Macaca fascicularis: one gene and its partners. The protein of the gene in region 1 purifies or fractionates together with the protein of each later gene. This does not show direct contact. Links are inferred from orthologs where the notes say so. Each region holds a gene or a part of one and is shown in the gene's direction. Other genes may lie near its edges. The genes, in order: STAU1, ILF2, NCL, IQGAP1, RPL14, IGF2BP1 and FMR1.

Evidence for each region.
Region 2: the proteins of STAU1 (region 1) and ILF2 purify together in Homo sapiens (affinity purification with mass spectrometry; 3 studies listed by BioGRID). This does not show direct contact. The link is inferred for Macaca fascicularis from reciprocal best matches to the Homo sapiens genes STAU1 and ILF2.
Region 3: the proteins of STAU1 (region 1) and NCL purify together in Homo sapiens (affinity purification with mass spectrometry; 4 studies listed by BioGRID and IntAct, with this or other methods). This does not show direct contact. The link is inferred for Macaca fascicularis from reciprocal best matches to the Homo sapiens genes STAU1 and NCL.
Region 4: the proteins of STAU1 (region 1) and IQGAP1 purify together in Homo sapiens (affinity purification with mass spectrometry; 4 studies listed by BioGRID and IntAct, with this or other methods). This does not show direct contact. The link is inferred for Macaca fascicularis from reciprocal best matches to the Homo sapiens genes STAU1 and IQGAP1.
Region 5: the proteins of STAU1 (region 1) and RPL14 purify together in Homo sapiens (affinity purification with mass spectrometry; 4 studies listed by BioGRID and IntAct, counting the BioPlex papers as one, with this or other methods). This does not show direct contact. The link is inferred for Macaca fascicularis from reciprocal best matches to the Homo sapiens genes STAU1 and RPL14.
Region 6: the proteins of STAU1 (region 1) and IGF2BP1 purify together in Homo sapiens (affinity purification with mass spectrometry; 3 studies listed by BioGRID and IntAct, with this or other methods). This does not show direct contact. The link is inferred for Macaca fascicularis from reciprocal best matches to the Homo sapiens genes STAU1 and IGF2BP1.
Region 7: the proteins of STAU1 (region 1) and FMR1 purify together in Homo sapiens (affinity purification with western blotting; 3 studies listed by BioGRID and IntAct, with this or other methods). This does not show direct contact. The link is inferred for Macaca fascicularis from reciprocal best matches to the Homo sapiens genes STAU1 and FMR1.

What each region holds. Positions count from the first base shown.
Region 1 is NC_088384.1:105,179,368-105,182,823, reverse strand, and holds part of STAU1 (double-stranded RNA-binding protein Staufen homolog 1), read left to right. Parts: intron 1-1,024; coding exon 1,025-1,100; intron 1,101-1,336; coding exon 1,337-1,656; intron 1,657-2,184; coding exon 2,185-2,307; intron 2,308-3,456. UniProt on the Homo sapiens protein: Binds double-stranded RNA (regardless of the sequence) and tubulin.
Region 2 is NC_088375.1:107,500,966-107,505,231, forward strand, and holds the start of ILF2 (interleukin enhancer-binding factor 2), read left to right. Parts: upstream 1-1,466; 5' UTR 1,467-1,532; coding exon of another isoform or gene 1,533-1,537; 5' UTR 1,538-1,856; coding exon 1,857-1,924; intron 1,925-2,237; coding exon 2,238-2,297; intron 2,298-2,586; coding exon 2,587-2,629; intron 2,630-3,829; exon of another isoform or gene 3,830-3,848; coding exon 3,849-3,953; intron 3,954-4,266. UniProt on the Homo sapiens protein: Chromatin-interacting protein that forms a stable heterodimer with interleukin enhancer-binding factor 3/ILF3 and plays a role in several biological processes including transcription, innate immunity or cell growth.
Region 3 is NC_088386.1:127,382,824-127,386,802, reverse strand, and holds the start of NCL (nucleolin), read left to right. Parts: upstream 1-1,179; 5' UTR 1,180-1,320; coding exon 1,321-1,338; intron 1,339-2,194; coding exon 2,195-2,311; intron 2,312-3,502; coding exon 3,503-3,979. UniProt on the Homo sapiens protein: Nucleolin is the major nucleolar protein of growing eukaryotic cells. It is found associated with intranucleolar chromatin and pre-ribosomal particles. It induces chromatin decondensation by binding to histone H1.
Region 4 is NC_088381.1:75,033,894-75,037,393, forward strand, and holds part of IQGAP1 (ras GTPase-activating-like protein IQGAP1), read left to right. Parts: intron 1-3,020; coding exon 3,021-3,129; intron 3,130-3,500. UniProt on the Homo sapiens protein: Plays a crucial role in regulating the dynamics and assembly of the actin cytoskeleton.
Region 5 is NC_088376.1:103,299,984-103,304,087, forward strand, and holds the start of RPL14 (large ribosomal subunit protein eL14), read left to right. Parts: upstream 1-1,304; 5' UTR 1,305-1,330; coding exon of another isoform or gene 1,331-1,333; 5' UTR 1,334-1,441; coding exon 1,442-1,444; exon of another isoform or gene 1,445-1,710; intron 1,711-1,853; coding exon 1,854-1,955; intron 1,956-2,604; coding exon 2,605-2,699; intron 2,700-4,104.
Region 6 is NC_088390.1:57,718,337-57,722,268, reverse strand, and holds the start of IGF2BP1 (insulin-like growth factor 2 mRNA-binding protein 1), read left to right. Parts: upstream 1-1,132; 5' UTR 1,133-1,412; coding exon 1,413-1,587; intron 1,588-2,780; coding exon 2,781-2,841; intron 2,842-3,932. UniProt on the Homo sapiens protein: RNA-binding factor that recruits target transcripts to cytoplasmic protein-RNA complexes (mRNPs). This transcript 'caging' into mRNPs allows mRNA transport and transient storage.
Region 7 is NC_088395.1:153,966,523-153,970,692, forward strand, and holds the start of FMR1 (fragile X messenger ribonucleoprotein 1), read left to right. Parts: upstream 1-1,370; 5' UTR 1,371-1,694; coding exon 1,695-1,745; intron 1,746-4,170.

The sequences.
Region 1 (3,456 bases):
GGAGGCTGAGACCTTGAATCCAGGAGTTCAAGACCAGTCTGAGCAGCATGAAACCCTGTCTCTACAAAAAATTAAAAATCAGCCAGGTATGGTGGCTTGTGCCTGTAGTCTGAGTTACAAGGCTGAGGTGGGAGGATTGAGCCTTGGAAGGTCAAGGCTGCAGTGAGCCATGATCATGCCACTGCACTCAGCCGGGGCGACAGACCCTGTCTCAACAACAACAAAAAAGGAACGTAAAAAGAAAAATTCTTGTCTGCCAGAAGTGGTAAGCAGGACCTCGGCAAAAGCCAAGGCTGATCTTCTTTCCCGTCACTGTATGGTCCTGGTGAGATAAACTTGAAATCAAGCCTAATTCATTGATGTCTGCCAGTCGTATTGACAGTGAGAAACAGCTTCAGTCGTGGCCAGTTAATAACTGACTGAGACCCCAGATACCACCAGTATAGATCTTAGACTTGGATTTTGAGTTTTTCATTTCAGAATCTTATAGGACATTCATAGTGTCCTTTGTTACTTCGTAGAAAGGTGAGGTAGTGTTTGACAGAATTCTTAGGTAATAACATTTTCCCCATAAGGGTGTTAATTTTGGAATGTCACCTTATTTTTTAATTGGATATCAGCTCCAGGAAATATTCTTGATTTATTTGTTTAGCTTCAGTCTGAAAGCTTCTTTCCCCACTTTGGTGGGCTCTACCGTCTAGCATCTCTGCTCTTTCTGGTTAAATGCTTCCCGTCTTCCTGTGGGTGCAGAGTGCAGCTCAGCATTCACAGGTTAGTGCACTTTGTTAGATGCTCTTTGTGGGCAGGGGTGTGGGCAGGAGGGTGCGTTAGGAGAAGGAGGCAGGCTCTGCCCAGGTGTCTGTCAGCGTGCCAGTGGTCAGGTGGGGCAGGGTTTTTCTGCCGATTGCCTCAGTTATTGCTGATTGGATTTTATGCAGGTTTAGACAGCAGGAGCTAATTTTTCAATGATCTGATTTATGCTCATGGCCTTTTTGTTTGTTTGTTTGTTTGTTTCTTTTTTAAGACACCCATAAAGAAACCAGGGGATGGAAGAAAAGTAACCTTTTTTGAACCTGGCTCTGGGGATGAAAATGGGACTAGTAAGTGTGATCTTAATATCATCTTCCTCTGAACGTGATTCTGGGATTTGCATGGGTCCTGAATGACAGCAGGAGTCCAGCCAGTGAGGTCCTGCATGCAAAGTGTCTGTATCATTCCCCGATTCCCTGCGCCGCCATGCATGGCAAGGGGAGGGCCAGCGTGGGGTTTGATGGTGTCATCGCGTTTTTCCAGGCTGTGGATGTGGATTCGTGTTTACCGTGTGTGTCCCTCCCAGGTAATAAAGAGGATGAGTTCAGGATGCCTTACCTAAGTCATCAGCAGCTGCCTGCTGGAATTCTTCCCATGGTGCCCGAGGTCGCCCAGGCTGTAGGAGTTAGTCAAGGACATCACACCAAAGATTTTACCAGGGCAGCTCCAAATCCTGCCAAGGCCACGGTAACTGCCATGATAGCCCGAGAGTTGTTGTATGGGGGCACCTCGCCCACAGCCGAGACCATTTTAAAGAATAACATCTCTTCAGGCCACGTACCCCATGGACCTCTCACGAGACCCTCTGAACAACTGGACTATCTTTCCAGAGTCCAGGGATTCCAGGTAACTGTCAGGCTTGAGCTGTGATGGCTGTGCCTCAGGACAGTCATCCTTTGGCTTCTCTCAGAAAATGAACTTTGGACTTTGTTTCTTAAATCAGGGATGGGTTGGGGAGCAGTGGTGGAAGGGTGGCAGGGAAGGAGGTATAGAAGTATTGTAAGCATATGTGGTAAGAGAAACATCTTTATCCTTTAGTAATATTTCAAAATGCAAGCCAACCCTAAAAACAAAGCTTCTAACCACTTGCAGTGTTGTAAATTTGGATTTCAAAGAACGGACTCATCATGCTGACACCTTCTGCCTGGTGGGAAAGGATATGGCTTCTCCCAGTCTAGGGCTTCTGAGCAGACACCTAGGTTCCTGGAAGGTTCTGGGCTGACAGAGCAGGTTTTGGTATAGCCACAGTCAGGCTGAGTTGGAGAGAAGAGCGGGTGATCTCCTTGCTTGTGGGGCCCGGAGCTGTAGCCCTTCAGCCCACTCATACTTGCTGTTCCCTACCCTACCTAACCTCAGCTCTCTTTTCCTCCTTAGGTTGAATACAAAGACTTCCCCAAAAACAACAAGAACGAATTTGTATCTCTTATCAATTGCTCCTCTCAGCCACCTCTGATCAGCCATGGTATCGGCAAGGATGTGGAGTCCTGCCATGATATGGTATGTCACACCTTGGGTGAGGGATTAGGGTGTTAAGTTGTGTGTTTATGTGGAGCCTGCCTTGGTTCAGCTTGTTACTAGCCTGAGGAATGTGGGAGAAAGATTCTCCCATAGACTTTGAGAACAATTAATTCTTTGATAGTGTTCATATTTTTTAAGACTTTTTGTCATAACTGCTTGGATTGATTTCTCACTCTTGATCAGAACTCATCAGCTTTAGTCCACCTTTCCCTTTTCCCTGCTGGTCTGGAGGGGCGACTGGGATCCTGCAGCTCACCTGGAGACTGCACTCACTTCCTCTCTCACCAGAACAAGGAACTGCAGGTCCATGTTCTGGCAGCTGTAAAAACCACTTGCTTTGGTGTTCTATTCAGATGAAATTACTGTTATAAGAAAACTGAGATGGGGCCGGGCGCGGTGGCTCAAGCCTGTAATCCCAGCACTTTGGGAGGCCGAGACGGGTGAATCACGAGGTCAGGAGATCGAGACCATCCTGGCTAACCCGGTGAAACCCCGTCTCTACTAAAAAATACAAAAAACTAGCCGGGCGAGGTGGCGGGCGCCTGTAGTCCCAGCTACTTGGGAGGCTGAGGCAGGAGAATGGCGTAAACCTGGGAGGCGGAGCTTGCAGTGAGCTGAGATCCGGCCACTGCACTCCAGCCTGGGCGACAGAGCAAGACTCAGTCTCAAAAAAAAAAAAAAAAAAGAAAACTCAGAAAAGGAATTGATCAGATTAACAAATCTAAGCAAACTGTGGTGTATTTACTTGATGGGACATCATGCATGCATGAAATTAATGTCTCTGGGTGGGGTGCGGTGGCTCACGCTATAATCCCAGCACTGCGGGAGGCTGAGGCGGGCGGATCACCTGAGCTCAGGAGTTCGAGACCAGCCTGGCCAATGTGGTGAGACCCCATTTCTACTAAAAATACAAAAAAATTAGCCAGGTGTGGTGGTGGGCGCCTGTAATCCCAGCTACTTGGGAGACAAGGTAGGAGAATCGCTTGAACCCAAGAGGTGGAGGTTGCAGTGAGCTAAGATCGCACTACTGCACTCCAGCCTGGGCAACTGGGTGAGACTCTGTTTCAAAACAAAACAACAAAACAGTGTCTCTGAAGATAACGTAATAAGAAAAATACATGATAGGCC
Region 2 (4,266 bases), on another chromosome or scaffold:
ACAGAGGGAGACTCCATCTCCAAAAAAAAAAAAAAAAAAAAAAATTAGCTCAGAGTGTTGTGGCCTGTGCCTCTGAGTAGTCCCAACTACTGGGGAGGCCGAAATGGGAGAGTCTGTTGAGCCCAGGGGGTCGAGGCTGCAGTGAGCTATGATGGTGTACCACTGCTCTCCAGCCTGGGCAACAGAGTGAGACCCTGTGTACAAATAAAATAATAGAAGAGAGGGTAAGAGACAAAGAGATTACTGGGGGAAAAGTCTAATACGTCTTTGGAGTTCAGGAAGGAGGGAAATAATAGGTAAAACTAATACTGGAAGATATAATAGCTAATAAATTATATAAATGGATGACAAACCTCAAGCCATTGATTCAAGAAGCTCAACAAACCTCAAGCAAGATTTTTTTTTTTTTTTTTTTTTTTTTAAGACGGAGTCTCCCTCTATCGCCCAGGCTGGAGTGCAGTGGCGCCATCTCAACTCACTGCAACCTCCGCCTCCTGGATTCAAGATTCTCCTGCCTCAGCCTCCCGAGTAACTGGAATTACAAGTGCCCGCCAGCACAAGCCACCGCACCCGGCCCTTTTTTTTTTTTTTTTTTTTTAAATTAATAACATTTATTTAAATCTGGATGGTGGTTATGTGGACAGAATACGTTTAGACTTAAGATGTTTACGTTCTGCTGTAGTAAATTAAATATCAAAAAAGTACGTATGGAAGGGAGGTAGATGAGGGATAAAAGTCTACAAGTTGGATTCAGTGTATACTGCTCGGGTGATGAGTGCACCAAAATCTCACAAATCACCACTAAAGAATTTATGTAACCAAGCCGGGCGCGGTGGCTCAGGCCGGTAATCCCAGCACTTTGGGAGGCTGAGGCGGGTGGAACACCTGTTTTCCACATTAATTCAATCAATATACTCCTCCTATCTGAAACCTGTTTCTCCTGCTTCGAGTTTGTAGACGTGTAGTGTTCATAGTTGCCTAAACTCCCTTTTCCCCATCAACTTCAACTGCTAGTGGCAAAAATGGCTGATACCGCTTGCGTTTTTGGGGTAGGAAAATCGGCAAGGTATTTTCATTCACTGAATGTAATGTAAATTACGTGTACGGTACAGGGCAATGAAAAAAATTCCGATAGCAGAGGATGGTTTCGATCCATCGACCTCTGGGTTATGGGCCCAGCACGCTTCCGCTGCGCCACTCTGCTATCTGAAGGCCAACGTTCTCATAACTGTTATAGAAGACCACGTAGTCGTTGTCCTGACTTCTTCAGTGCCACCTAATGTCTGATCAAAAATTCGTCATTACTATAGAACCAGTTCTTATTGGCTAGTTCCTGACACAGTAGGCGTTTTTTATTGGTTCATAAGCCCGGTTTGACAAAGTAAGCCAATAGGCATAAGCGATGGGGTAAGGCGGGAGCCAATCACGCCGGGTTTTATTGGGACACGCCGGCAAGACTCCTCTTCAGTTGTCTGCTCCTCAGAGGAAAGGGGCGGTTGGTGCGGCCTCCATTGTTCGTGTTTTAAGGCGCCATGAGGTAAGGGGGTCGAAGTGGTCGAAAGGTTTCAGGTATTCGACGGAAAACTTTGGGAACGTGGGTCGAAAGAAGTCGGAGTACCTAAAAGGACCATGTATCCGGGAGCTGGCCAAAAACCTGAGAACTCCTGGTCTAGGAGAGTGGGAGAGAGTGAGGCCGGTAGAGGCGGGGAAACGGGCCCGGGATGGGGTTGGGGCCGGGGCCCAGGAGTGGGGAGGCGGGTTCGACACCTCTCTTTGAAGGGTTGCGATGAGGAGGTGTCCTCAAGTCCACGGAGGAGCTCCCCACCTTCCCTCCGTCCCCGTCATCCGGGCTGAGAATGCTGGAGCGAGCCGCATTCATCCTCAGTGCGAAGGGCTTGACATACAGGACATGCCCGATAAATGTGTACGTTAATGAAGAAATGAGCAATCTTTAGCTTCCGAAGTATTAGGATTCGTGTGGCCCAGGATTATGGGTTATTTCGTGTAGGGCTCACTGTCTGAGCCCCATCATTACTTGATGGGGGGTTGTGATTAACTTATCCAGAATGAGGAGGTTATGGGGGTGTAACTGGGCACCATTTGGAATGGGGAGAAGTGTGTGAGTGGGGTCTCTTGCCTACCGTTGGGAGGTTCCGAGGGATGAAAGTAGCCAACTTAAAATGACATGGCCGGTGGGTATTCCTTCAATGAGATCAAAATAAAATCTGCATTTCTAGGGGTGACAGAGGCCGTGGTCGTGGTGGGCGCTTTGGTTCCAGAGGAGGCCCAGGAGGAGGGTGAGTGCCAGCTTTTAGCATCTCTGCACTTAGTTGTTAGTTTCTGCTTGTCATCTAAATAGGAGTTTTGGAATAGACTAATGTCACTTGGTTTTGTGAGAGCCAACTGTGGTCTTTTCCGCACTCCTGCTAAATGAATTTGGCCCCACTATGCTAAGAATGATTCTCTCCCTCCCCAGAGACTTTGTCACTCATTCTGAGGTCTGACATGTTTTCAAAATTGTTGGTGTTATTTAAATCTCACTTGATTCCTACATAGGGAATAATTTGGCTGTTTTTCATGTTTTAGGTTCAGGCCCTTTGTACCACATATCCCATTTGACTTCTATTTGGTGAGTACCTTGGGTTAATAATACACAATTTCTGGCCATTCTTGAAATGGAGCCTAGTATCTCCCAGTTAATGAAGTTAGATAGTGGTTGAAGAGGGCAGGCACAGTGCCTCACACCTGTAATCTTAGCACTTTGGGAGGCCGAGGCGGATGGATCACCTGATGTCAGGAGTTTGAGACCATCCTGGCCAATATGGTGAAACCCCATCTCTAGTAAAAATAAAAAAGTTGCTTGGGCGTGTGCCTGTAATCCCAGCTACTTGGGAGGCTGAAGCAGGAGAATCGCTTGAACCCGGGAGGCGGAGGTTGCGTGAACTGAGATGGCACCACTACCAAAAAAAAAAAAAAAAAAAATGGTGATTGAAATGAGGGGGAAAGTGATTTTTGAAAAGACTTGGGGTTTTGAGTCAACTGTGTGTTGCTTTACCTACAGAAACAGTGTAAGCATGGTGGGGAGAATAATTCCTTGACTACTGTTGGCATTAAACATGATTATAATCTTTGTTCTGAACAAGTAATCGTATCTATGGCTAATTTGTTACTATAAAGATAGTGATAGCTTAAATTATGGCTATTCCAGCTTGTATCCTTGTTTGAACATTTTTTCTTTTTTTTTTTGAGACAGAGTCTCACTCCGTCACCCAGGCTGGAGTGCAGTGGTGCAATCTTGGCTCACTGCACTGAACCCGGGAGGCAGAGGAATCAGGACCTCTGCCTCCCAGGTTCAAACAGTTCTCCTGCCTCAGCCTCCCAAGTAGTTGCTATTATAGGCGCCATGCCCAGCTGTTTTTTGGGTATCTAGTAGAGACGGGGTTTCACCATGTTGCCCAGGCTGATCTTGAACTCCTGACCTCAAGCGATCTGCCCACCTCGGCCTCCCAAGGTGCCGGGATTACAGGCGTGACCCACCATGCCTGGCCTTTGAACAAATTTTTTTTTTTTTTTTTTTGAGGCAGGGTCTTACTGTGTTGCCCAGGCTGGAGTGCAGTGGCACGATCTTGGCTCACTGCAGCCTCGCTTCCTGTGTTCAAGGGATTCTCCCACCTCAGCTGGGATTACAGGCGTGAGCCACCATGCCCAGCTAATTGAACAAATTAAGGAGTAAAAACAAGTGTAGAATTTTCTATTTTTAACCTTTTTCTGTCGTAGTAATAGAAAAAACAATCTCTCCTGTATATTATTTTCGGCAAATGGAATGTAGTTGTTTACTTCTGGTTTAGTGTGAAATGGCCTTCCCCCGGGTCAAGCCAGCACCTGATGAAACCTCCTTCAGTGAGGCCTTGCTGAAGAGGAATCAGGACCTGGCTCCTAATTCTGCTGAACAGGTATGTTCTTTTGGCTGTCTTCCAGAAATGTCTCTAAAGCAGGTAAAAGTATTGGTAAAGAGTAACTGTTGGTAAGGTTAAGAATGGTGTTAACAGAGCCTGAAATCCACAGAGGGTTTAATTGTTCTCCTTATTTCTCATTGTGGGTGGAGATAGCCAGGTGAATATATAAACAAATTACATATGCATTCTTATTTTTATTGGGGACAAAGAGTTGTTCTCTTTCCATATATTCAAGGCCAGAATGAAGTGTTTTTAAAGTCCTAGGTCAGTATTGAGTCAGCTCATATGGAAGGGATTAGGAGAAAATACT
Region 3 (3,979 bases), on another chromosome or scaffold:
CAATCCCCGACTCCCCGGTTCATGCGCCTCGGTCTCCCAAAGTGCTGGGACTGCGGGCCTGAGCCACCGCGCCCCGCCTGAGGTGATTTTTAACAAGTACAGCCGTAGCTGCAGGTATCCTGGTTCTGTAGGAACAATGAGGTATGGATGGATCCATACCTGGACCCATGGATTGGATGGATCCCAGGCAGGCCCTGGACGGAGGGAAATGCTCTGTTGCTAAGCCCGGCATCGAGGGAGGCCCACCCTCAAAGCTAACCGTGGAAGTCACTCCGGCCTCCTTCGCCCTGCCGCCGGGGAACCCTGCCGGTGGCTCTCGACCTGCTCCCGAGCCATCTGGTGACACTGACTTAGCAGCCACCACCTTAATTGGCGCATTCGACGCAAATAACAACCAGGGAACCTGTGGGCGGTCAAAGGCCCGGCTTTGCGGTCGGCCCGCCCAGGCCCCTCTCCTTGCCCTGTGAGGCCAGAAAGTTACTTCTCCGAGGCCGTTCCCCATGACGAGAAGTATCTCCCGCCTGAGGTTCTGTGGGGTAGGGGAGGTTCGTGCATTTCTCACAGAAAAACCTCGCACAGACCCGCGACTGCCTTTATTAACGGCTCTCAGAAGGCTGCCTGCAGCCGGGGGTGTCTCCAGTCCCATGCTCGCGGGCAAGCAGGGCTGAGCTGTGCCTCCGAAAGGGCCAACGGGAACTCCGCGGTCCCTGAACTTCCGGGGCTGGCGGGCTTCTTTCTCCAGGGCCACCGGGAGCCCCGGCGTGAGTGCGTGCCGGGGCCGCGCGCGGGGTCTTTGAGGAACTCCAAGGCTGCCCGAGCCTAGGGAGCCAGCCACATTGGAGATCCCTAGACCGCCCGATTCCACCACCCCCGAGGTCCCCTCACAGCCGGCGCCAAAAACGCCAGTCCCACGGCGCAGGCCGGGACCCGCGCGCCCACGGCCCAATCAGCGCCCGCCTTGCACAAAGCGAGCCCCGCCCCCACGGCACGGCTGCCAGCCCCTCCCCCTCCCGTGGCCGCCTCGGCCCGCCCACTCCCCGCCCCGCGCCGTTCTCGGTTAGAGGCTCGCGATTGGCTCAGGGGGACTGCCGCGAGCTCTGGTTGGTCGGCACGGAGTCACGAGGGCGCCGTCGTCGCCTTTCCACAGGCGATTACTGGGCAGGCTCAGTCTTTCGCCTCAGTCTCGAGCTCTCGCTGGCCTTCGAGTGTACGTGCTCCGGGATCTTCAGCACCCGCGGCCGCCATCGCCGTCGCTTGGCTTCCTCTGGACTCATCTGCGCCACTTCTCCGCTCCACACTCCGCCGCCATAAGCCGCCATCATGGTGAAGCTCGCGAAGGTAAACGGCCTTGAGCGCGAGCGCAGACGTCTAGGCCTGCTCTCCGAGGGGCGAGCGCGGCGGCGCGGGGAGGAGGGCCTGCGCGCAGTCCCGGGCGCGTTCTAGGGCGCCATGCTGCGGGAAGTCTCGCGCGATTAGTGGGGAGGTCTCGCGGCTTCTGGCTAGTTGGTGGCGAGGTGAAGAGCTTCTGCAGGTGCTGGGGGCGGCGAACGCGGCGGGAAAGACGGAGTTACTGAGCGCGGGGAGGGGGCGCTGGGCCCCGGGGTGGGGAGATGAGACCAAACTCCTGCGACGCATACGAGTCGGGACCCGACTCCTGACGCACGTGCCCGGGTGCGCGGCCTGCCACGTGGGCCGCGCCGCGTGGGTCCTGGAATCTCCAGAGGCACCGGTGCCTTGCGCCAGGAAATGGCGGTATACGTCCTAGTCGGAGTCCTGGCCTGGCAAGCCGACACGTGGTGGGCCCCGGAAGGTGGCTCTGCCGCGTGCCTTTTGCGCCGTGTTTCGGGCACGTGGTGGCCTACCAGGTACCCCCACGTGGCCGCGCCGCCTCTTTAAGGGGCGGGGTTGTCTTGCTGGGAAAAGCATAATGTTCATGAGAAAACCAAGGTAGTTACTTCTTACCTTCGGGCGGGTTTTCTGTTTGTGAAGCCCGGGAGGAAAATTGTGGGCGGTTGAGAGTAGTCCATCTTGCATTGCCATCAGGACTCGTTTTGATGTTGTGCTGTTTGGCACTATGAGAAATGGATCTGAGAAAGGAGAGATGATGGCGTTTTACTATGAACAGTAATGGCAAAATATGAATGGCCTGAAATGTTGAGGTGGAGGTGTAATGACCTACTTGTGTCCATTTTAGGCAGGTAAAAATCAAGGTGACCCCAAGAAAATGGCTCCTCCTCCAAAGGAGGTAGAAGAAGATAGTGAAGATGAAGAAATGTCAGAAGATGAAGAAGATGATAGCAGTGGAGAAGAGGTAATTTTATCTAGCTTAATGCAGAATTGTGTTAAAACTACAACAATGGAGAGTTAAGACATGAAATTGGATGTCTGTGGCTAAAATAAGATTTTATTCATCCAGGTATGTCCTATTGTAGTGGTGGTTTCACAAGCTCTTCACTGACATGTCAAGGTGTCATTTGGCTAAGTATTTGAATGTGAGTTTGAGACAAGAGGTCTGGGGATCTCCTTTCCATGTGCCTCTGCAGGGCAAGGAGTGTGATTTGTTGTGTTAAATCATTAAATTTTTCCAGTTTCAACATGTTAGCCTCACCCCGACATGTAGAGCTGGGCATTGTATTCAGATCTGAGGATAACCTTCCCAGATTCCTTTCCTAGCCTCCAATTAAGATTAATTGGTCTCCATTCCATTATATATAAACTTTGTAATTCTACTCACTGCGTTATAGTTATCTTTGGTGTAGACTGAGGGCTGCCACCTCTTTGTGTTAACATTGACCCTCTTTACTCTTTGGCAGTCCTGGCCTTTTATTTGCTCACTGTAAAGACATCTGAGCACTGAATTGTGCTCAGGTTTCTCGTTGAGAATTGAATAAAAGTTTTATTCTTCCACACATTGCCTAATAAAACTATGGGATTTTCATGTAGCTAAACGATGGCTTTTATCAAACTAACATGCTCACTCTTTGATGTGTGATAGTTTTGTAAGGGATAGTTATGTTTAGCCTATTTGATCTTCATTTTATCTCAGGTCCCAAGAATTGAGCTTCACTGGACTCAGTACTGCCATCCACCATAGGAGCCCCAAATGATTTAATACGTTAATGCTTGGAGCCTCCTAGGTGTAAGGTTCTGAATAATTTACGCATAGCAATTCATTATTGTTATACGTGTAATATGATACTATTACCATTTTCAGATGAGAAAGTTGGGGTTTGGGAAAATATGAGGTGCAAGAATTCAGAGGTCTGGTTCAGAGGTATTTTAAGTGTTCAAAAGGGTTCCTTATGGCTGGGTATTCACCTGATAATAAGGGCTCTGACCTAAGACAACATAACAGAAGCCTGGAGTTTAACATGCTAACATGTGTCTAGCGCATGTGGTCTTGAACCAGAAGCATTGCCAGAATCTAACACTCACTGGGACCATGGTTATCCTTTTGGGTGTGGGGCTGGACTTACTGGTTTGGTTTTCATTTATTCTCAAGGTTGTCATACCTCAGAAGAAAGGCAAGAAGGCTGCTGCAACCTCAGCAAAGAAGGTGGTAGTTTCCCCAACAAAAAAGGTTGCAGTTGCCACACCAGCCAAGAAAGCAGCTGTCACTCCAGGCAAAAAGGCAGCAGCAACACCTGCCAAGAAGACAGTGACACCAGCCAAAGCAGTTGCCACACCTGGCAAGAAGGGAGCCACACCAGGCAAAGCATTGGTAGCAACCCCTGGTAAGAAGGGTGCTGCCATCCCAGCCAAGGGGGCAAAGAATGGTAAGAATGCCAAGAAGGAAGACAGTGATGAAGAGGAGGAGGATGACAGTGAGGAAGATGATGAGGATGATGAGGACGAAGATGAGGATGAAGATGAAATTGAACCAGCAGTGATGAAAGCAGCAGCTGCTGCCCCTGCCTCAGAGGATGAGGATGATGAGGATGATGAAGATGATGAGGATGAGGATGATGACGATGAGGAA
Region 4 (3,500 bases), on another chromosome or scaffold:
TTGTCTTTATTTCTCTTTTCTGGATGGTTACTTTTAATATTTTTTACGTATTTATATATTTTTATGTGTAGAATTAGGCCTCATACTCAGAGTTAATTTGTCATAAAAGAGTTTTTCTTTTCCTTGTTTGTAGAACCTTTGTCTCAGGTCATGTTCACTTCTTTGGGTCTGATCTTAATTTTTCATCATTAAAGCAGGAAGCCACTCCTTGGATTTCTTCTGTTTCTGAACCAAGAATAAATTAAGAGTAACAATAAGAGGAGTTTGCTTTATTCCACTTACAGCTAGGAACCAGGCACTTAACCTTCATTTTCTTTTCTGGGAAGTATCAGCTTGCTTTGCACCTGGTTCATGGACCTGACATGTCATCCTCGCATAGATCCTGGGCCCAGCCTCATTAGCAAGCATTTATTAAGCTTCTGCTCAGTCAGCCCTGTGACCTCAGGCTACTGATCTTTCCCTTCTTGTGTCTGGGGAAAAAAAAAACTTTTAAAAAAAGAACTTTTACAGTTTTCTGATTCTAAAATAATATGTATTCATTATTAAACTTTGAAGATACAGTAAAGCATAAAAAAGAAAACACCTGTAATTTCACAAGCCAGAGATAACCAGGGAAATCATTTTAATGTGTTTTTTTTCTATTCACATAAAGATTATCCACAACTCACCCACTTATTTATCTAACTACTTTATATATATATTTTTTTTGTTCTTCTTCTTCTCCCCCCCCCCCCTTTTTTTTTTTTGACGGAGTCTCTCTGTCACCCAAGCTGGAGTATGGTGGCGCGATCTCAGCTCACTGCAACCTTGGCCTCCAGGGTTCAAGCAATTCTCCCACCTCAGCCTCCCAGTTAGGTGGGACTACAGGCATGCATCACCACACCCAGCTAAGTTTTTGTATTTTCAGTAGAGATGGGGTTTCACCGTGTTAGCCAGGATGGTCTTGATCTCCTAACCTCGTGATCCTCCCATTTCGGCCTCCCAAAGTGCTGGAATTACAGGCCTTTTTTTTGGAGGGGGAACAGTCTCTCTGTGTAGCCTAGGCTGGAGTGCAGTGGCATAATCTCAGCTCACTGCAACCTCCAGCTCACTGTAACCTCCGCCTCCCAGGTTCAAGTGATTCTCCTGCCTCAGTCTCCCAAGTAGCTTGGATTACAGGTGCCTGCCACCACATCCAAATAATTTTTGTATTTTTAGTAGAGACAGGGTTTCACCATGTTGGTCAGGCTGGTCTCAAACTCCTGATCTTAAGCTGATCTGCCCTCCTCAGCTTCCCAAAATGCTGGGAGGATTATAGGGATGAGCCATTGCACCCAGCCTAAAATAACTACTTAATATTTTTTAACACAAACTGGGACAATACTGTTTATGGTCATGTATCCAACTTTTTTCTTATAACATTATGCTGTGAGCATTTTTTATATTCATTGAAAGCATCCTTTTTAATGGGTACATAATTTTTAAATTTTTTTCTAGAGAAAGAGTCTTGCTGTGTCACCTAGGCAGGAGTGCACTGGCATGATCACAGCTCACTGCAGCCCTAACCTCCTGGGCTTAAGAGATCTTCCCACCTTAGCCTCCCATGTAGCGGGGACCATAGGCATGTGCCACCATATCCAACTAATTATATTTTGTAGAGACAGGGTTTCACTTTGTTGCCCAGGCTGGTCTTGAACTCCTGGGCTCAAGCAGTCCTCCTGCCTTGGCCTCCCAAAGTGCTGAGATTACAGGCATGAGTCAATATTGCCCTTCTTTTTGTCATTATTTTCCACTACTGTTCAAGTGCCTACCTCTATTTGCCTTTCTTTCTTCTTTTTAATTTGCTTCTATGGGTTTAGAAACTAAATAGCCAACTAAATCTGATAAAATTATTTATCACTTAAGATAAATATCTTTAAGGAATAACCCGTGAGGCATTCCAGTTGAATAAAATGCATGTATGTTTCAGTGCATGGGTTTTTGTGACTTTTCCTTTAACTCTCAGTGACCTTTTTGCATCTTTCATGGTTCTCAGCCCTGTTTGTAATAGGTAAGGTAGCTCCATAGTTGAGTTCTGGAAATCTGGGGTGCTATACTTTGATCACCCAGAGGATGCCTTAATCCTTTTTTTTTTTTTTTTTTTTTTTGGGGGGGACAGAGTCTTGCTCTGTCACCAGGCTGGACTGCAGTGGCACTATCTCAGCTTACTGCAACCTCTGGCTCCCGGGTTCAATCAATTCTCCTGCCTCATCCTCCTGAGTAGCTGGGACTACAGTTGCATGCCACCACACCCAGCTAATTTTTGTATTTTTAGTAGAGACGGGATTTTACCATGTTGGCCAGGATGGTCTCGATCTCTTGACCTTGTGATCCACCCGCCTCGGTCTCCCAAAGTGCTGGGATTACAGATGTGAGGCATCGTGCCCGGCTGCATAACCCCTTTTCCTTTTGGCTTCCTAAAATTTCCTGGCAGGTAACATGTTGTGAATGAGTGATAACTTAAATATTTTTAATAATAACAATTTATCTTTGGTAATACTGAGTGTGCTTATGTACACAGCACCTACTCTTTCTAGAAAAACCTCCTCCCTTGGAGCTTTTTTTACTGACCCCCTTTTGTTTATTTACTTCTCCCAGTCCTCAAACATGCATGTATTCAAACACACATACCATCTCCTTCCACCCCAGTTTCCTGTTTTCTCCTTTTATCATTAGGTTTCATTTTTGGCCATGTGGAAGTGAAGAGAATTACTATGATGTCATCCCTTCACAGGCCACTTGTGGCACTCCTCAGTGGTTCTTCTTTTATAGAATGCAAGTGCTGCAGGCAGAGAGAGGTTGCCATTCCTCTCTCCAAGTCCCAGAGCAGATGGTACTTAGGCATGGCAATCCGTGCTGCTTCAGGTGCAGAAGTACTTTTGACCTGTATTTTCTACCCCTTTTCACCCTTGAAGACTTGGTTCATCTCCTTTCCCCATTTCACAGAATATTTTTATATAAGAACATAAAAACCATACCCTTACGATGTTATCTTTCAACAGGTTTAAAAATGTTATCTTTGAAATCAGTCCAACAGAAGAAGTTGGAGACTTTGAAGTGAAAGCCAAATTCATGGGAGTTCAAATGGAGACTTTTATGTTACATTATCAGGTGGGTATGCACCAGCAGGAACCAAAAGCTTTCTGGATGAGATTCTTGTCCAAGTAGGAGAACTAGATAAAGAGGAGACTCATCTGAGGAAAGCTGTCTACATTCAGCAGTGAGCTGGGCTCCACACTGTGGGGAAAGAAGCTGAGTGTTGCAGCACGTCTGGTTTGGTGTGTACACTCTGGAGAGCTTTTGCAGATGTAAATCTTCAGAAAACATTTATCTGAAGCTTCCACTTAGTGCTGCCACTAAATTGAGCTGATACCTTGGACTTGAACAAAATGCATAAGTACACATGCTGACATTGCAAAATTGTAAGTCCACTCAGTAGCTTGAAATTTTTTTCTCATTTTGATTTGATGTAGGTACTTAAA
Region 5 (4,104 bases), on another chromosome or scaffold:
TTTTACAAATTTGAGTTAAATCTAAAACTATCAGTTAAAGACTAGAGACCTGATAAATAAATGTAATTTGTAATCCTCCATTAGACCAAGAGCCTGGAAAAAAATTTTTTTTCCCCATTTGCTCCAAAGAACATAGGAGCAACAACTTATAAATTTGAATAAGGACTGCAGGTTAGATAACAGTACTATTGCAATATTAATTTCCTGATTTTGATAAGTGTACTGACGACATAAGAGAATCTCTTTGTTGTTAGGAAATACACATTTTAAGAATGTATACATAGGCTGGGCATGGTGGCTCCCGCTGGTAATCCCAGCACTTTGGAAGGCCAAGACAAGAGGATCATCTTCACCCAGAAGTTAGAGGCTGCAGGGAACCGTGATCACACCACTGCACTCCAGCCTGGGCGACTGAGGGAGACCCTGTCTCTATAAAAGAATGTAACACTGGGCGCGGGGGCTCACGCCTGTAATCCCAACACTTTGGGAGGCCAAGAGGGGCAGATCACGAGGTCAGGAGTTAAGAGACCAGCCTGACCAACATAGTGAAACCCCGTCTCTACTGAAAATACAAAAAACTTAGCCCACCATGGTGGCGCGCGCCTGTAGTCCCAGCTACTTGGGAGTCTGAGGCTGGAGAATCGCTTGAACCTGGAAGGCGGAGGTTGCGGTGAGCCGAGTTCCCGCCACCGCACTCCAGCCTGGGCAACAGACCGACACTCCGTCTTAAAAAAAAAAAAAAAGAAAAAAAAAAGTAGAGATAAAAGGACATCATGTCGGCAATGTCCTCTCAAATGGCAGAATGATATAGCACGTGCAAAACGGTAACATTTGTGGAATCTAGAAGGGCTTATGGGAATTATTTGTACTAGTTTAGCAATATTTCTGTAAGTGTGAGTTACTTTAAAATGAAAGGTTAACAAAGTTACTGAGATTAGGGAGAGAACGTGAGGAGCGAACAGGCTTAGTACTAAGCCATGAATAACCAACAAGTAAAACTGGGGGAAATAAAAAGGAAGTCAAATGGCATGCGATCAACGGAAGACATAGCTTCCGTACTCTTAACCCTAAATTACTAAGCGATGATCTTCCTGCAGCTCTCCAATCCAAATCACCAAAGACAATCTCGCCGCCCAACTTTGCCAGAAAGCAATTCGGCTCCAGCCGGCTCCGCCATGTTTTTCCAGCGAGCTGCGCCTACGCACGCACGGGTTCACGCACCAACCAATCGGTGCCCACGTCGGCGTCTCGTTACCGAAGGGGCGGTGCGTTCTTCTACACATGCGCACGGTTGGGCGGGCCTCCTTCCTTCTCGCCTAACGCCGCCAACATGGTGAGTCTTACTGATGCGGGCTCAGGGGCTGGCGACCATGCAGCTCGACCTCCACCTCTGCTGGGAAGCTGAGGCGCCGAACGGCTCCCAGAGGGTCCCGGGAACCGCATGGTGAGGGTCCCCGGGCCGGCTGTGCACCGGAAACTGACCCTTCCCGGACTCGCGGCTGGCGAGCGCGTGGAGGGCCCGGCAAGGCCTGGCGCGCCTTGGGCCACGCTTGCGCGCCTCCGCCGCTGGAGCTGGACGGCTGAGGCGGCTCGGGGTCCGAGAGCGTTGTCCCGCCCGCCGCCTGGGCCTTGCGGAACTGAGAGCTGGCAGGCGGTGGCGGTGGGAGCGGGCTTTAGCTACTGAGGCGTCTGCCGATTTCGTCCATCCAGGTTGGCGCCTGGCGCTCGGGCGGGTGTTCCCCTGCAGCATTCCTTTTCGCTGAATTTAACCATGTCGTCTTTAGCTGTAGAAGGTAACATATCTAGTAAGTATTTATAAGTAAGTTTCACTGCCCTTTCTCCCCCACTTTTAGGTGTTCAGGCGCTTCGTGGAGGTTGGCCGGGTGGCCTATGTCTCCTTTGGACCTCATGCCGGAAAATTGGTCGCGATTGTAGATGTTATTGATCAGAACAGGGTAAGTGTCACAACTTCTTACTAAACATGGCAGTGGACATGTGCTTTGCAGTTAACAATAATGAATTGTCTCGATGGCTGTGTAAGGTGAGGTTGCTGTGGGTGGTAGCTTTATTTTACCATTGAGGAAACAGGTAATGGTAAGGGTTGTAAGCACAGTCTAAAATTAGCTCTTAGTATTGAATTTAAGTGTTAGCCACTTAAGGTAGAGCCAGTTATGGACTGAAAAGTTGGTTAGTTTTAAATGAGTTACTATACATAAAGTGAGTTTAGAACAGATCCAACACATAGAAAGCACTTTTGTATTTACTGCTGTGTATTTGAGACAGGCAAACTAAGAAGTTGACCACTGGCTATAAATGAAAAGGGATCAGAGTCCTAAAGTTGCCTGTAAATTACATGTGGTTGGTTTCTATTGGGTACTAATAGTTTAAAAAGGAGCATTTAACGGTGTGGAGAAATGTTTGTGTTGAGCAAAAGAAGTAAACATACGTGACCCAGATAGGACAATCCTTGTCTTTTCTGAGCACTTTATTTAAATAGTAGTGTGGGTTTGATGGCCCTGAACGGATAAGTAATTTTACAGAACCATCTGACCATTTTAATTGCTGTTAGATTTTGCACTGAAGTTCTTGATGTTTGTGTTCTAGGCTTTGGTCGATGGACCTTGCACTCAAGTGAGGAGACAGGCCATGCCTTTCAAGTGCATGCAGCTCACTGATTTCATCCTCAAGTTTCCACACAGGTAACTATCCACTAATCATCACTCCTCCCTCCCATCCCCAGATTTGTTTATACTAGTAAAAGTTTGTTTTAGAGTAAACAATATGGAAGATTCCGAGCCATCCTGAAGAGGGATTTAGGTTATAGAAGTAGACAGAGATTATTTACTTTTAAAATGTCCTGGGGGTGATAGCTCACACCTGTTATCCTAATACTTTGGAGGCCACAATGGGAGGGTCTCTTGAGCCCAAGAGTTTCGAGACCAGCATGGGCAACATGGCGGAAACCCCTGTCTACAAAAAATACAAAAAAATTTCTTGGGCATGGTGGCACGTGCCTGTAATCCCAGGTCGGGGGGCCGCGGGGGCGCTGAGTTCGCACGATCACTTTAGCGAGGTCGAGGCTGCAGAGAGCCATGATCATGCTACTGCACTCCAGCCTGGATGACAGAGTGAGACCCTGTCTTGAAAATAAATAAAATAAATGCCTTAAAGTCACTTTTCTACCCTGGTAGTTTAGGGCTTTGCCTTTGTTTAGACTTGCCATCCTCTTTTCTTCTGGTCTCTGCCCAACTTTTAGCTTAAAGTAACAAAAATACTAAGTCTTAGGTTTTTTGATACTAGCTATCATTAGGCGAGCTCTTAGTGTGTGTCAGTTACACAGTATTTAACATGAAAGGTTTTATCCCTAGCTTACATTTAAATGAGACGGTGAATAGCGGTTCTTTTTTGACATGAAAATTAAAACACTTTAGTGTGTTGCTGTACAGTTAATTCAACTCACAGTGATGGTTGCAGTGGAACATGTACTATCACGTGGCCACTACAGATAAAGTAGATCTAAATAATGTAATTTTGCATACTTTAAAAAATAGTCAAAAACTTGCTGTATGCTGAGTGCTGCAGACATTGCAGTACGTGTATTAACACATAATGGAAGTACTGGTGGTCCCCTCATGCCACTTGAATAGCCTCGAGTGAACATAGCCGTGCTGCTGCTACTGTGACATACCGCATTGTTTGCAGCACAATTAGGAGTGAAGCTTGAGGATACTTGTCAAAGTTCAAAGCAGTAGAAAATACTTGGTAACTTGGATTTTTCACTAGGTACTCTTGTAATTCTGCCTTGGATTCCGGAGCACCTTGGATTTTATTTTTAGGATGTTTGGCCACAAATTTTTACCATAAAATTTTTTTTTAAAGAGCCTAAGAGTTAACATTAATTACTTTGTTTGTTATGAGAATGAATGGCTTGGATGGGTGCAGTGGCTCCTTCCTGTAATCTCAGCATTCTGGGAGGCCAAGGTGGGAAGATAACTTGAGGCCAGGAATTTGAGACCAGCCTAGCCAACCCCATCTCCACTAAAAGTCCAAAAATTAGTCGGGTGTGGTGGTGTACTCCTGTAGTCCCAGCTATTTGAGTGAATG
Region 6 (3,932 bases), on another chromosome or scaffold:
TTCGCGCTTAGCCCCCCGCCCTCCGTCCCTCTCCCGCCTTCCCGCCGGGTTCGGAATCCTGCACCCCAAACAAAGTTCCGAGACCCGAACCTAGGGCCCAGAGAGCTGCCAGCAGTGTCCTGGGTGGTGCGGGCGCTGGAAACTCCACCTGTCTGTCCCCGACTCGGAGGGAAAAGGGGACCATTCAAATCTCCACCCGGTCACTCCCTCCCTAAGACCTCCCCCTTCGGTTCGCTCGGGTTAGCCCTAGCTATCACCCCTCTTCTTTCTGTCCCACTGTCCCTCTCTCCTGGGGTCATCTCCGGCCAGTTCCGCGAGTTTCCCCCAGGACCCCGTAACGTTATCATTTAACAGCCGGACCCCGGGTGCGAACCACCCTTTCTCCCGTGGGGATCTCAAAACATGATTTCCCGCGGCTTCCTCGTTCTCCACTGGGATCCCCCGTGTTCCCAGCTTCCCAGTCCCGCGCTCGCAGGGTCCCCCGGTCGTGCATCCCCGGAGGCGGGGGAGTTTAGTGGGGCTGGGGTGGTGAAGGCAGAGACCCCCCCATTTAAACATCTAGGGAAAAGGTGGCTTTCTTTTTAAATCACCAGCTCGTGCGACCCTCTCCTGAAGACCCCAGAGTCTTCGGCTTCTCTTTGTCTATCTCGGCCGTCCCCCGCCTGTCAGTCGCTAGCAGTTAACCGGGGTGGGGTGAGCAACCCCGCCCCCCAAAACGAATAAAAAATAACCGTACATTTTACCCTTTAAGACCTGGGAGATCTGGGCTGGACCATCCTCCCCCAGTTCGGGCTGGGGTAGGGGGATGGGTGGGGGCGGGGCGCTTCCCTAGGGGCCAGGTTCTTGCAAAGGGGGAAGGGGCCATAGAGCTTCAGGGACGCTGCCCCACCGCCCCAGTTTACCACGGGGGTGAGTTGAGTTCCCCACCCTCAGGCGGGAGATTGCTGGGTTTGGCCGGAGGGCCGAGGGGCCCTGTGGCGTCGGGGGTCTTCCCCTGCAGGGTGGGTGGGGGCTGTCACCACGTGGCTTCTCCTTTTTTTTTTTTTTTTTCCGCTCCATTTTTTTTCAAGTCGATTTTATTTAGAGGCGGCGCCAGGGCGGCCGCGGAGAAACGTGACACACCAGCCCTCTCGGAGGGGTTTCGGACCGAAGGGAAGGAGCTGCGCCGCGTCGTCCGTCTCCCTGCGCGCCGCGGGCACTTCTCCCGGGCTCTCCCCGAACTCTCCCGCGACCTCTGCGCGCCCTCAGGCCGCCTTCCCCGCCCTGGGCTCGGGACAACTTCTGGGGTGGGGTGCAAAGAAAGTTTGCGGCTCCTGCCGCCGGCCTCCCCGCCTCTCGGCCTAAGAGGCTTGCCGCCCGCGTCCACTCGTTTGGCCTTGCCCGGGACCGCGTCCTGCCCCGAGACCGCCACCATGAACAAGCTTTACATCGGCAACCTCAACGAGAGCGTGACCCCCGCGGACTTGGAGAAAGTGTTTGCGGAGCACAAGATCTCCTACAGCGGCCAGTTCTTGGTCAAATCCGGCTACGCCTTCGTGGACTGCCCAGACGAGCACTGGGCGATGAAGGCCATCGAAACTTTCTCCGGTAAGAGCACAGCCACCTCCCGGAAAAGCCACAACGAAAGCCCCGAACAACGGAGACCCGCACCTTCCGGTTCCTCTCCCGCCAACTCCTCTCTTCCCGGGCCTGCGGGGCTTGGCCTCTGTACCCAACCTCGACCTACCCCCTTCGATGCCCCCTCCCTCGCTCTGCGCCCCCCACCCCCGCGCAGAAACATTCGGGATTTCCTCATCCCTTCCTCCCAGCCCGAGATAAGCAGCTCTGGCTTCCCCCATCCCTCCTCCCCACCGACGGGGCGGGAGCCCCCACTGGCAGTAGTGGGGGGGTGGATTTAGGGACACGGAGATGACCCCCGGCTGGGCGTTATTTCCACGTCCAGCCCCTCCCTGTCCGCCGGTGGACGGCCCCCCAGCTGGAAAACCCTGGCTCTCCTTCCTCAGTCTTAGGCCTTTCCAGGCGTGGAAGGGGTCCCCCGGACCGCTTGCGATCTCTCCGTTTAGCGTGGGGAATGCAGCCCTCTAGCAGGACTTGCAAGGAAGGGGGTCCTGCCTCCTGCCTAGGGCCTGGGGCTTGAGCCATTTTGATTTGAAAGTGGGGCGTGAGCGGAGTGGCGCGGCGGCGGCGGCGCCGGGTCGCCATGCTGCTTCCCGAGACGCCGAGGCTGGGCCGAGAGGCGCGCGCGGCGGCAGCCAGGCACCCTCCCCGCCGGGCCCCGCTTCGCTCCCCCAGGTCCACCCCTTCCCAAACCAGTCCCGACAGGTGACCGCTCCGCGGCTCCAAGCCCTTCTTCCTGGCCAACAGAGAAAAATAAAGTTTCGTTCTGTACACCGCCTCCCGCCCCGCGCCCCACTTTCTGAGGAACGGGGAGCCCTTTCTCTCCTAGCTCCTTCTCCCCACATCTGGGAGCAATGTAGGCAGCGCAACCACACAAATGGCCTCGCACCTTTCCCAAATCGGGATTCCAGAGCGATCCACTCAACGAGCCTCAGTGATTAAATAAAGCAAAAATTAAAAAATGAATAATAACGAATTTATAGACTCCACCATTCCTAGAGCAACCTTTTTCCCATCTGGCTGCAGAAGCCACTGCCTGGATTCCTAGGAAGATCTCGAATCCCAGTAACTCCTGAATTAGCCTAGTGTCTTTCCCCTTCCTCTTCCCACCCCCAACCCCTGTTCACGCTCTCATGGTAATTTTTTTTTTTTTTAATCTTTAGGGAAAGTAGAATTACAAGGAAAACGCCTAGAGATTGAACATTCGGTGCCCAAAAAACAAAGGTAGGAAAGAGCTCTTTTCTGGGGGGGGTGGGGGGGCCGCGGGGGTGTGCTGAGAAGCTGTGTTCAGGGGTCCATAGCGTCTCCAGTGGAAGAAACCCATTACTGGTCTTTCCCACCCCCAACTCCGGATGTTGGGGGCAGGGAGGGAAGATTGGCCAAGATCTTGTAATGGGTGGTTTACAGCTTGTAAAAAAAAATAAGTTGGGGCTGGGGTGGGCTAAAAGATGTTGCTTGTAGAATTAAAGGGGAAAGAAAATCAATAGGGGAGAAACCTTTTGGAGTTTGTTCAACTTGTGGGGCCGTTTTTTGTGGTGAACCTTAAAATCTTCGAAGAGTTCAGACTCAGGGCGATTTCTGCAACTTCGTAGCAGGCCTCATTTTCTGTTTTTCCCACTCTTTCCACACCATAATTCTTAAGTGGATTGCCCTTCTACTCCTAAGTGATGTGGAATCAGTTTCCCGTCCTCCAAAGAATCCCCTTATGCTTGTATTTTATTTATATTTCTGCAACAGGCAAAGACTTTATTTTCCATGGACCCCCCCACCCCCAATCCCTCATATCTCACATCATCCTTCTTCCCAACTGGATTTTCCAAAGAATATGCCTTGGCTGTACTATCCTTTTCGAGCCCCCCTACCCCCACTCCTTCAGCCCATTGTTACAAGGGGACCATCTGGGGTGAGAGCTTTGTGTTGAGGCTGTGAGCTGGGGCTCTTTGGAGGGTCTAGAACTCCGTGGATGAATTGAATGGGGTGTGTGTGTGTGTGTGTGTGTGTGTGTGTGTGTGTGTGTTCCAGTACCCTCTCTCTATTCTCTCTCTTCAGCAAAATGGGGTACCTCCATCATGCTTACCGAGAATTCATGGTGGATTTCAAATATTGCATTGAACTCTGAAATCTTTCCTTGAACTCTGGCTGGGAAGTGTAAGGGCAGAGTCTTTCCACTTTTCTCAAATCAGACTTTAAACATGTTGACAGTGTAGAGTTTGCTCTCATGTCCCAAGTTGAAAAGCAGCTCCCAGTAAATCTTTGATCCTCCTCACCCCCCATTTCAACTGAAAACTTGGTACAATTCAGAATAGTCTCTGGCC
Region 7 (4,170 bases), on another chromosome or scaffold:
GCCTCATGTGACTACTTCAAAGACTCTAGTCCAAAAGGTCTTTCCTGTTTACTATGGTCTTGAGGAATGTGGCCCTAGATCCACTGCTTTAAAGCTGGAGTTCCACCAGCAGCAACATCCTCTCATTCTGGGGCAGCTGCCTGAGGCAGGTCATCCTGCCTCGGCCAACGCAGTGCTACCAGTTAACTCTCACCTGCCATATTCCAGCTGGAATCATTTCCCCTTCTCCACCCCAGACTGGGTCATGTTCCGCCATCATGGAAGCACCTATTCTTCATATCCCTTATCACAGCTGCAACTCCTCATTTACTTGCCTGATAATTTGATTTATGTCCATCTACTTTGCTAGGTTCTAAGTTCAATGCTGGCAGTCTTTTCTTCTTTTTTTTTTCTTTTCTGTTTTGCTCACCGACTTCTCGCTAGCACTTAGCACAGTGCCTGGCACATGATAGGTACATAAACTTCTCAGTTGGGTACCAGCATCCCGAAGGGAACATGGATTAAGGCAGCTATAAGCACGGTGCAAAACAGGAATAAGAAAAAGTTGAGGTTTGTTTCACAGTAGAAGGTAAAGGGTTGCAAGCAGGTGCATCGGCCCCTGTAGACAGGACGCATGACTGCTACACACGTGTTCACCCCACCCTCTGGTACAGGGTGCACATAGAGTAGGGGCAGAAATGAACCTCAAGTGCTTAACCCAATTTTTAAAAAATATATGGTCAAGTGAAAAGTATGAAAATTAGTTGAGGAAAGGTGAGTACGTGGGTCAAAGCTGGGTCTGAGAAAAGGCTAACATTTTGAGGTCCTGACTCAATCCATGTCCCTTAAAGGGCACAGGGTGTCTCCACAGGGCCACCCAAAATCTGGTGAGAGAGGGCGTGACTCCTCACCCTCTGCCTCTACAGGTCACAAAAGCCTGGGTCACCCTGGTTGCCACCGTTCCTAGTTCAAAGTCTTCTTCTGTCTAATCCTTCACCCCTATTCTCGCCTTCCACTCCACCTCCCGCTCAGTCGGGCTCTCCGCTACTTTGAAACAAACCAAACCAAACCAGACATCCCCCGGGAATCCTAGCGAGGCCGAACTGGGATAACCGGATGCATTTGATTTCCCACGCCACTGAGTGCACCTCTGCAGAGATGGGCGTTCCGGCCCTCGCGAGGCGGTGCGACCTGTCACCGCCCTTCAGCCTTCCCGCCCTCCGCCGAGCCCGCGCACGCCCGGCCAGCGCCTCTGACGTTCGACCCGAATCCCCGGACGGTTCCCAGAAGCGCGCATGCGCGCGCTCCCAAGCCACTTGAAGAGAGAGGGCGGGGCCGAGGGGCTGAGCCCGCTGGGGGAGGGAACAGCGTTGATCACGTGACGTGGTTTCAGTGTTTACACGCGCAGCGGGCCGAGGGTTCGGCCTCAGTCAGGCGCTTAGCTCCGTTTCGGTTTCACTTCCGGTGAAGGGCCGCCTCTGAGCGGGCGGCGGGCCGACGGCGAGCGCGGGCGGCGGCGGTGACGGAGGCGCTGCTGCCAGGGGGCGTGCGGCAGCGCGGCGGCGGCGGCGGCGGCGGCGGCGGCGGCGGCGGGCGGCGGGCGGCGGCGGCGGCGGCGGCGGCGGCGGGCGGCGGGCGGCGGCGGCGGCGGCGGCGAGCGCCCGCAGCCCACCTCTCGGGGGCGGGCTCCCGGCGCGAGCAGGGCTGAAGAGAAGATGGAGGAGCTGGTGGTGGAAGTGCGGGGCTCCAATGGCGCTTTCTACAAGGTACTTGACTCCAGGGCAGGCCCCATCTTCGCCCTTCCTTCCCTCCCTTTTCTTCTTGGTGTCGGCGGGAGGCAGGCCCGGGGCCCTCTTCCCAAGCGCCGTGCCAGGGCACGCTCGGCGGGATGTTATTTGGGAGGGAAGGACTGGACTTGGGGCCTGTTGGAAGACCCTCGAGCCCCGCTCCGAGTCCGAGAGGCCCTAGCGCCTATCGGAATGAGAGACCAGCGAGGAGAGGGTTCCCTTTCGGCGCCGAGCCCCGCCGGGGTGAGATGGGGATGGGCGAGGGCCGACGGCAGGTACTAGAGCCGGGCGGGAAGAGCCGAAATCGGCGCTAAGTGACGGCGACGGCTTATTCCTCCTTTCCTAAATATCTTCTCCCAGCGGGATCCGGGCCTGACGTGTGGGTAGTTGTGGAGGAGCGGGGGACGCTTCAGCCGGACCGCCTCCTGCAGCGCCAAGAGGGTTTCAGGTCTCCTTTGGCTTCTCTTTTCCGGTCTAGCATTGGGACTTCGGAGAGCTCCACTGTTCTGGGCGAGGGCTGTGAAGAAAGAGTAGTAAGAAGCGGTAGTCGGCACCAAATCACAATGGCAACTGATTTTTAGTGGCTTCTCTTTGTGGATTTCGGAGGAGATTTTAGAACCAAAAGTTTCAGAACATGGCCCAGCAATGCATTGAAGAAGTTGATCATCGTGAATATTCGCGCCCCCCTTTTTGTTAAACGGGATATATTCAGGAATGCACATGCTTCAGCGTCTAAAACCATTAGCAACTCTGCTACTTAAAAATTTTGTGTGTATGTTTAAGTTTCCAAAGACCTAAATATATGCCATGAAACTTCAGGAAATTAACTGAGAGTATATTATAAATAGGGCATTTTTTTTTTTTTTAACTGAGCGAAAATATTTTTGTGCCCCTAAGAACTTGACCACATTTCCTTTGAATTTGTGGTGTTGCAGTGGACTGAATTGTACTGAGTTGTTGAGGCCTTATATAGGCATTCATGGGTTTACTGTACTTTATAAAGTTACACCATTGCAGATCAACTAACACCTTTCAGTTTTAAAAAGAAGATTTACAAATTTGATGTAGCAGTTGTGCGTTTGTTGGTACGTAGTTGCTGTAGATCTATTAATCTATAGATTCTCATTTCCTTTTGAACGTCTATAACCTCTTGAAATAATATCCCACCTTACTACAGTATTTTGGCAATAGAAGGTGCATGTGGAAGGAAGCAGTGTCCAGCACAATTCTTAAATGTATTATAGAATGACTTGAATGTTTCAAACAGGACACGTTTGGCTATAGGAAAATAAACAATTGACTTTATTCTGTGTTTACCAATTTTATGAAGACATTTGGAGATGAGTATATTTCATAAATGAGTAGAGTATGTAAACCGTTCCATACTTTGAGCACAGAGTTAAAACCTTTTGCTGTAAAAGGAGGCAAAAGGTAACCCCACGTTTATGTTCTTAACACTCTCATAAATATAAAATTGTTTCAGTTGACTCTGCAAAGTTTTAATTTCATTGATCGATAATTTCTTCTGGTGAGTTTGCGTAGAATCGTTCAGGGTCCTAGATTAGTGGTTTTGGTCACTAGATTTCTGGCACTAATAACTATAATATATATACATATATATGTGTGAGTAAGGGTTAATGGTTAAGCAAGATTCTGATTGATCTGTGATACAAACTTAGATTGGATGCCACTAAAGTTTGCTTACCACAGAGGGCAAGTAGCACATTATGGCCTTGAAGTACTTACTGTTCTCTTCCAGCAACTTATGATTTGCTCCAGTGATTTTGCTTGCAAACTGACTGGAATATAAGAAATACCTCCTATTTTGCTATTAATTTCCTCCTTTTCTGTTTCGTTTTGTAACGAAGTTGTTTAACTTGAAGGTGAATGAAGAATAGGTTGGTTGCCCCTTAGTTCCCTGAGGAGAAATGTAATACTTGATCAAGTGTGTGTCAGATAAATTGCTGTTACGTTTATTTAATTAAGTTTGATTTCTAAGAAAATCTCAAATGGTCTGTACTGATGGAAAAATAGTTTCTGTAACAAAAAAGCTTGCAATTTTTATATGACTTATAATTTTGCTGTGAGTTTAAAAAGTAAAGCAAAAGTAAACTGAGTTACTTGTCCAGTGGGATGGACAGGAAAGATGTGAAATATAAACCAATTAAAAATGAACTGCTGTGGATAAGTGTTACATTTATGGAAAAAGAAATAGGAACCTTGTTCATCAAATTGATAGAAAAGCTTTAAAAACTAAACAAACAACTTGAGTATAATTGAATTCAGACTTTGATTCGCCTGACATAACCACCATATTTCCAAGGACATCTCTCTATCTTCTGGTGTTTATTCTTAAAAACTTAAAAGTTAGATTTAGCAATCACCAGAGCCACTACTTTTATGC